Danio rerio: one gene and its partner. The protein of the gene in region 2 purifies or fractionates together with the protein of the main gene of each other region. This does not show direct contact. Links are inferred from orthologs where the notes say so. Each region holds a gene or a part of one and is shown on either strand. Other genes may lie near its edges. The genes, in order: traf7 and map3k2.

Region 1 (3,833 bases), on a different chromosome or scaffold from region 2:
GGTGAATTTCGAATAAGAGGATAATCACACGCACAGTGAGACGCAGGCTTTCTTCACTTACTGAAGAGGGCTTTAGTAACGCGTGCATGGCTAGTGTGATGTGCACAAGAGTTTAACAAGAGTGCGCGCTCCTTTTTCCTTGTGTGCAGTAAAAGTGCCTGCAAATGCAACTTGTGCAATTGGTTCTCTTTGAAATAGACTCGACAAAAATAAATAAATCACTGTCCTGCTGTTTTTAAGAGCTTCAGGTTCTTTTTTAAAATGTTTAAAAAGCAGCAGCAGTTGCCGATTTCCTTATTTTACCAAACTTTGAACAGATTATTATTGGGCCTAATGTTTACTTTGCGCATGTGATCATCCTTTCATTATCGCACACAGTGTTTTTTGTATGCTTTCTTTTGCTTACAGTTATTTTTTTTTATACATGGTTTAATTATCATCCTTTACAATAACTGCTTTACTAGAAGATTAACTTCTCATTTATGTATAGTTAACTGGTGGTCTGGGACCTTTAGCCTGGACAAACTACTGTGCATAGTTTTAGATACATGACAATAGTTATTTTTAAAATTATATTTTCTTAAAGAAAGGCTATGTTAAATAAAAAGTGGATGTTTATTTATTTTGTTTTAATAATTTTTTAAAATTATTTAAAATGTGTAGCTAAGGAATAGTTAGGTATTTGTTTATTTATTTTTGGGGTGACCAGAGAAGGTAAATCCTTAATGCTGAGTTCTGAAAAATCATTTGAAATTAGAACTAATTCCAATGCAACATCATTAAACCAAAAACTATTTGCTGATGCTCATTGAGCAATGTCATACACAACAATCAAAAAGTGAAATGAATGAGAAGGGGACATAACACAAAACCTAAATAAAGTAATTTTAGCATGCCAAAGTCAAATTTATTCATATAAAATATATTTTCCCAACAACCAAATTGTGACTAGTGATCAAAAAAGTTAAACAACATTAAAAAGTACATTAATAAATAATCTTTTGTTAAAACTTTTATTGCGGATGAACGTTAAAAATTTGCTGGGTGTTAGCCCGATTGGGTAGCTTTACATGGACAATTAAGACCTGTTTAAAATTATTTAGGTATTCATTTTATGAGTTAAAGGTAATTATTCTTTTATATTCCAACAAAATTAAGACTTTCAGGCCTAAATAAAATTTTGTATATTTATGATGCTGCAGATACCCCGAGTAGATTTCTCATTTTAAAGGTTTAATTAAATGATATAAATAAAAATCACACTTTAACTAATAAAACCTGAATAATTTATACACATTAACAACGGCAGTGACCTTTATTAAGTCGTGATTAATTGATTAATTGATTTGTTTATTTAAAGAAAGTCTGCTTTGCCCGTTTTTTTTTTTTTTCTGGAGTTTGTATTTTTTACGAATTAATGAAAATAAATTATTACAGGCATAAAATTCAATTTACTTGATCGTTTAAAAATAAGGGATATGTAAACTCATTTTCAAGACTGTATGTGAAAACAACCTAATTACCCAATAACCAGCATACAGTCCTTTATGATGAAATCTTGGAGATCCTGAAGCAACTGAAAGGGTTGTTTTGTATTCAAACCGTTCAAAGTTTAACACTCCTAACCTTTATGGTTTGATAAGATCCACTGTAAAGATGATTCTGAGAAGCAACCAAAGCTCGAACCCAGTGATTTAAACCAGTCAGCTCCTTCTTTAGCTTCAGCTCTGTGCCAACAATATCCCACACCTACAGAGACAGAGAGAGATGTTCAAGCACACTGTGAATTGGTAATCTGGAAATTCCCTGAGAGATGAGCTCATTCTGCAGTTGAGCCTCCACTCCCTCAATCCTCCCACACATAACCATGGTGATACAAGCACAGCGTGAGCTCTTCAGACGCTCTCGCATAGCCAAGAGCATCTCATTCTGCTAAAACTCTGTGCTTCTCCGTTCTCTGCTGGAGATCGGATCCAATCCTCTTCAGCATTTTAGGGAAAACATTGTGCGATTGTTAAAGAATCATCTAATATTAATAATCTAAACTATCAGTGGTTGTTTCGGGTAACTGCAATTGTTGCAATCCCTATAGAATGCACATAAACCAAAATATGTAGACATTGATCTGAACGCTAATGCAATTTTAGTTTTACTTTCAAATTCACAACACTTTGCAGGGTGTTGAGTGCATTGCATTGATGGACACCCCATGGAAAGTTGGATACATACCCTTGGTAGCTTAAGCAGAATAGAGCAGCGTATTGGTCATTTGCAGGTTAAATTTGCATTGACAAGTTAATGAGACTGTTCACTCAAAAATTAACCATCTGTTTCTTCTGTTGAACTTATTTATTCCGAAGAATGCTGGTTGATCATTATGGGTGTCAAAATTAATTGCTTCTTTGATGCACTGCGATGCAGATGTTAACGATTCTGTATTGGTTTATTAATAGATCACCACCGGTTATTATGTACTGAAAACATTTATTTCATAAGCGCTATGTGGCAGTAGAAAACTATTCTAAAAAGGCAAAAGTGAGTAACTTAAATGCTTCAACTACTTAAAAGGCAAACAACTGTGCACAATTCACTTTTTTCTACAGGTATATATATATATATATATATATATATATATATATATATATATATATATATATATATATATATATATACATACATATACACACACACACATATATATATATATATATATATACACACATATATATATATATATATATATATATATATATATATATATATACACACATACATATATATACATACATACACACACATATATATAAATAAATAATTTATATATATATATATATATATATATATATATATATATATACTTACATATATATACATACATACACACACATATATATATAAATAAATAATTTATATATATATATATATATATATATATATATATATATATATATATATATATATATATATATATATATATATATATAAAAAATTCTTGAATTAGCTAGTTATATGAAAAGCATATTTCCAAAATATACAATTATTGTCTGTAACTGCAATTACTTCTTAGACAATTAATTGTCAGCCAAATTTCACACAAAAGAGGTTTATAGAGCCAACATGCACATCACCAAATGGGGCAGAATGAAGCTTGACATTAGCTGCTTGATTGGGCATGTGTTTGCAGACGCGCACATCATCTCTACAACAGACGATACTGACCTTAATGGCTTTGAGAGAGCCGCTGAAGAGCATGTTGTGTGAGGACACTAGAGTGCACACAGGGTTATCGTGTGCCCGGATGGTGTTCACTTTCTGAAGGGTCTGGATATCCCAAACCTGAGGAAGAGCAAGTGAATGTGTATTAGTTACTGTCCGAATCAGTAGTTTGATTCCTCTTTTAAATGCACTTCAGGGACACTCACAATGATTGTACAATCAGCTGAGCCACTATACAGCTTGTTCCTGCAGAAACAAAAAAAAATGTGCAAGAATTTGTAAGTTCCCTTGTCCATTTAAAGACAACATGAACATGACATTTGCAACCGTTTTTACTTTGTTAAATTCTTTTTAAATATTGTATATTTTTATTAGAGCTGTAACCAGAGCCTAAAACTACACTTCATAATTGTTTTTTCAGTGCTTTCAAAATAAAAGCATACAGCTTTTTGTTTGGTGCTTTTTAAAATGCACAAAATGGATGTGACTGTGTGTCATTCGTAAAACATGGTTATGTCCACATAAAAATCAGTGCAGTGCATCAGATTACATATTTATATGATTATTTTAATTTGTAAAGCTGGTTCGGAACAATAGTCATTTTTCTTAAAGGCCAA
Region 2 (4,366 bases):
TTGGCAACTGCTGCTTCAGAAGCACTAATAGACGAATTAATATCAAAGAAAAACAACGTTTGTAACATGGGAATATTTTGGTTTCAAAGTCACAGGCACCTAACAAAAACAGGTCATTTTTAAAAGCTGTCACAGAATTGTTGCTATGGCTTACAGACTGTTGAGCTGAAGTTTAAATTAAATTAAAATCAGCTTAAATTAAATCGTAAATCAAATCACAATATCTGTCAAAAAAAAAAACATTATAATTAGATATTCCCCAAATCGCACAGCCCTAGTAATAACCTTAAAAAACTAATAAATTTAATGAAATTTGGAAAGAAATAAAACTAATTTAATAGGTTCAACATCTGTCTTAGGGACGATTAGCTCCAACTCATTTATCAGAAACAAAATACCTCAAATATGGAGCTAAACATAATTGAGGACACCTCATTGTGAAAATGAACATTTTTATCCATTTCTCAGTAAATATGGGTCATATATTTTGATGCATTTGAACAAAACATATTAATTAAACAAATTTATATTTAATAAAATAATATTTAGGCCCCCGAACATCTTCAGAAATATAAAGACAACACAATACTACCCTAATTTATAATAATCAAATCATTATACAAATTTTAAACCGTTGTTGTAAGTTATTTTGCTAGATTAGCTCCAGACATGGCTTTACTACTCACTAATCAATCTATATGCAAGAATATAATATTGTGAAGCTTCCAATTGAAAACATGAATCTAAATGAGAGATTTGTGAGGGGTGTACTCATATATGCTGAGCACTGTAGCTGTTGCTGATGTGAATTAGAAAAGAGGCGATACAGACCTGGTTCTTGGGAGAGGAGGCCTTGGGTTTGGCCAGGTCAGACAGAACAGATGGTCGACTGGATCGATGCAACACCGCCAGGTCTTGCATGATGGAATTCAGGGCCTCCTGCTCATCTGCAATATATTTTATTATGTATTCACATTATATTTATTAATCCTCAATTAGGCATGGGACGATAACCGTTTTCAAGGTATACCACGGTTTGGAAAAGTCAAGGTTTTAAAACCATCAAAATCTTCTGCTATACCGTTCCTAAGGTGTGTTTAAGATTTTTTATTTACATTTTTTTTATGACAACTATATCTCCAGCAGAAAAGATATTCAAAGATGCCATTTTAAATTGTAAAAATATCATTGTGTTTTTGAAACAGTAGAAGACAGCAGAAGTCAGAGATTCATTTGAATTATTTAGCCTGACATGTTTACTGCTCCAAAATATTTTAAGTGTTTCTCAAAATAAAATCTATTGTGTTCAAAGGGGGAAAGAGTTTTTGTTTTTTTAGCCAGACATTTAAAAAGAACATATTTTATAGCAGTTATCACAAGACTGCATTACCGTAAAACCGTGACATTTTTATCCAAGGTTATCATACCGTCAGAATCCTGTGCCGGCCCATGCCTATCCTCAATACAAACACTTAAAAAAACATTTGTGCACTTACCCATTTTGACTGATCACTGATTCACCCAGGAGTAAAGGAAAGAGGATTCTCCCATGAAATGGGATCCTTTCTCCTATACAAAAAAATAATAACACTTTGATTATAAAATAATCTAATTATTTATTAAGATGACGTATTTGTAGTGATCGAATTGACCAAAATCACTAGGTCTAAATTGCACAATTATAGCTTTACAATGCAACAAAACAACACAGATTAATAATGACACAAGGGAAAATGCTTTATAAATTATACAAAATCATGACATTAGAATGAAATAATCTCTTATTAAAAGCCACATTTATTGTCCTTCATTATCAAGCTCTTAAATGTTTAATACGACAATATCTTGTTTAACTCTGAGGTGTTTAAACATGTGTATCTAACTTTAAATTTCAAAATCCTGACAGCAAAACACAAGTCAACATATAATAACTGATAAATAGCTTATCAGAGAATGTCATATGTCAAGTCACTTTTTACCATTTATGACCACGTGTCATAATCTGTGCACAGCACATTAAAAACTCTCAATATGATATGCAATTTGATGAACAACTAAATAAAATGTAACTTGAAGTTTCCTTAGAAAGCTAATACTCAAGCTAACTGGTTAGCACACATACCTGTCAAAACTACTGCATGTCAAAGAAGCAACCAAATGCGATTGCATGATTATATATAACATAAATCACAATGGCATTAATGTATTTATAAAAATATAATATGTGCCTCTAAATATTGTTAAATAAAACTACTGCACTGACACATTTATAACACACTGTTAGCCGTTTAGCTCTTTTAACAGTTGGGCCACAGTTAGCATTGCGCAAACATGCTAACGAACAGCTCAAACAGCTATCAGAAAGACACAAACAGATATGTCTGATTTAACTGTCTTCGTAATTCAGTCATCCTGTTAATCGCATAAAAATAAACATCATTTGATCACCTGGGTGAGCTCGATCCGTTCACTTCCTCATCCAAAGATGTGAGGCCTCGAGAGGAATCTGACACTCTGACAAGACTCAAATAAACGGCTTTAACTTCAGTCCAAGGCCTGCCTGCACGGCCAAACCATCTCCCGCTGACCACAGCTCACTTTGCAGGTAAGCGAAAGCTGCTGACGGTAAATCCAGGGTAATGTGAGGATGAATAAAGCTAATCTTCGGCCGCGGACGGAGGTTTGTTTACATTAGGTTAAACGCGCTCGACCTGACGAAGATCAACTGTTGTCAATTAGACTGAGAGAAGATTCGCGATGTACGACTATAACAGTGCACAATCTGTGAAGGTCTGGTCAGAAAATTAATCCAAGAAGACGAAACGGCACATTTAGCAAAAGGTGTTAGGTATTAAGTACACTTAAAACACTGCAAACGCAGACACACACACACTACTTTAGAACAGCACCGCTGTCTTTTCACTCAAACTCACATGTCTCGACAGCGCCATCTGCCGACGGACACATCGTAATAAGGCCTCGGATGGTCAGAGACGCGGCAGTGTCAAATTCTAACCAATCAGAGAACGCGGTTAGATTGTTTTCGACCAATCAGAATATTGAATGCTCTCCGAAAAACTCCCATTTGATTTACAGGCACATGTTTGCTGCGTGCGTGAATGCACATCCGCTATGCACAGGGTTTTCACTGGTTTTATGAATATTTTTTAATTGAGATAAATCAGTCTATACCGTTAAATACAAACGGCACATTCATGAATGACTTAGGTCTGTCAGAGTATATATAGATATATTATTTTCTCCTAGTTCATCAAAACATTCTGCCATCTGGTGGAGAAAGTTGTGGATTGCATAAAGATGATTAAAGGGTTAGTTCACCCAAAATTGTAAATTCCAGTACCCTTAATTACCCTGCCTCATGAAGTTCACTGACATTTTACCATGCTCCAGAGATGTTTAAAATCCAGAAAACGAACCAAAAACCTTGTGACTTCTGTGTTTCAACTGTGATCATACAAAGCTCCAAAAAGATTTTCAAAGATCAGAATTATTCATTCATTTTCATTTCAGCTTAGTCCCTTTATTAATCATGGGTTGCCACAGCGGGATGGACCACCATCTTATCCAGCATATGTTTTACATAGCGGATGCCCTTCCATCTGCAGCCTATCACGGGGATCACATCCATACACACACATACACTGTGAACCAGCGACCTTCTTGCTGTGAGGCGGTTGTGCTAGCCACTGCGCCAACATGACCCCAAGCTTTAATTTGTGCTCCTTAATTAATTACAAAATAAATTTCTTCTTTGATGTCTTCCATGTTTGATCAGGGTGCATGTTTACTACGGGCAAAATGAGGCCATAGTTTTTGACTCATGTTTGGCCTGTTGCGCTGATGACACTACTGGCAATACATGATACTGTAGTAAACGCACACCCTGACTAGCTGACGCAAGAGAACATACACTCACCGGTCACTTTATTAGGTACACCTTACTAGTACTGGGTTGGACCACCATTTTGCCTTCAGAACTGCCTTCATCCTTCATGGCAGAGATTCAACAAGGTACTGGAAATAATCCTCAGAAATTTTTGTCCAAATTGACATGATAGCATCACACAGATGCTGCAGATTTTTTGGGCTGCACACCCATGATACGAATTTCCCATTCCACCTCATCCCAAAGGCGCTCTATTGGATTAAGATCTGGTGACTGTGGAGGTCATCTGAGTACAGTGAACTCATTGTTATGTTCAAGAAACGAGTCTGAGATGATTAATTCTTTATGACATGGCACATTTGGTTTAATTAGGCCAAAGTGTGCCAAGTAAATATCTCCCACACCATTACACCACAACCATTAGCCTCAATCGTTGATACAAAGCAGAATCGATCATTG

Evidence for each region.
Region 1: the proteins of map3k2 (region 2) and traf7 purify together in Homo sapiens (affinity purification with mass spectrometry; 3 studies listed by BioGRID and IntAct, with this or other methods). This does not show direct contact. The link is inferred for Danio rerio from reciprocal best matches to the Homo sapiens genes MAP3K2 and TRAF7.

What each region holds. Positions count from the first base shown.
Region 1 is NC_133178.1:34,483,293-34,487,125, reverse strand, and holds part of traf7 (E3 ubiquitin-protein ligase TRAF7), read right to left. Parts: intron 3,463-3,833; coding exon 3,423-3,462; intron 3,337-3,422; coding exon 3,220-3,336; intron 1,750-3,219; coding exon 1,627-1,749; intron 1-1,626. UniProt on the Homo sapiens protein: E3 ubiquitin and SUMO-protein ligase that plays a role in different biological processes such as innate immunity, inflammation or apoptosis. Potentiates MAP3K3-mediated activation of JUN/AP1 and DDIT3 transcriptional regulators.
Region 2 is NC_133181.1:10,489,675-10,494,040, forward strand, and holds the start of map3k2 (mitogen-activated protein kinase kinase kinase 2), read right to left. Parts: upstream 2,947-4,366; 5' UTR 2,449-2,946; intron 1,570-2,448; 5' UTR 1,501-1,569; coding exon 1,497-1,500; intron 948-1,496; coding exon 832-947; intron 1-831. UniProt on the Homo sapiens protein: Component of a protein kinase signal transduction cascade. Regulates the JNK and ERK5 pathways by phosphorylating and activating MAP2K5 and MAP2K7. Plays a role in caveolae kiss-and-run dynamics.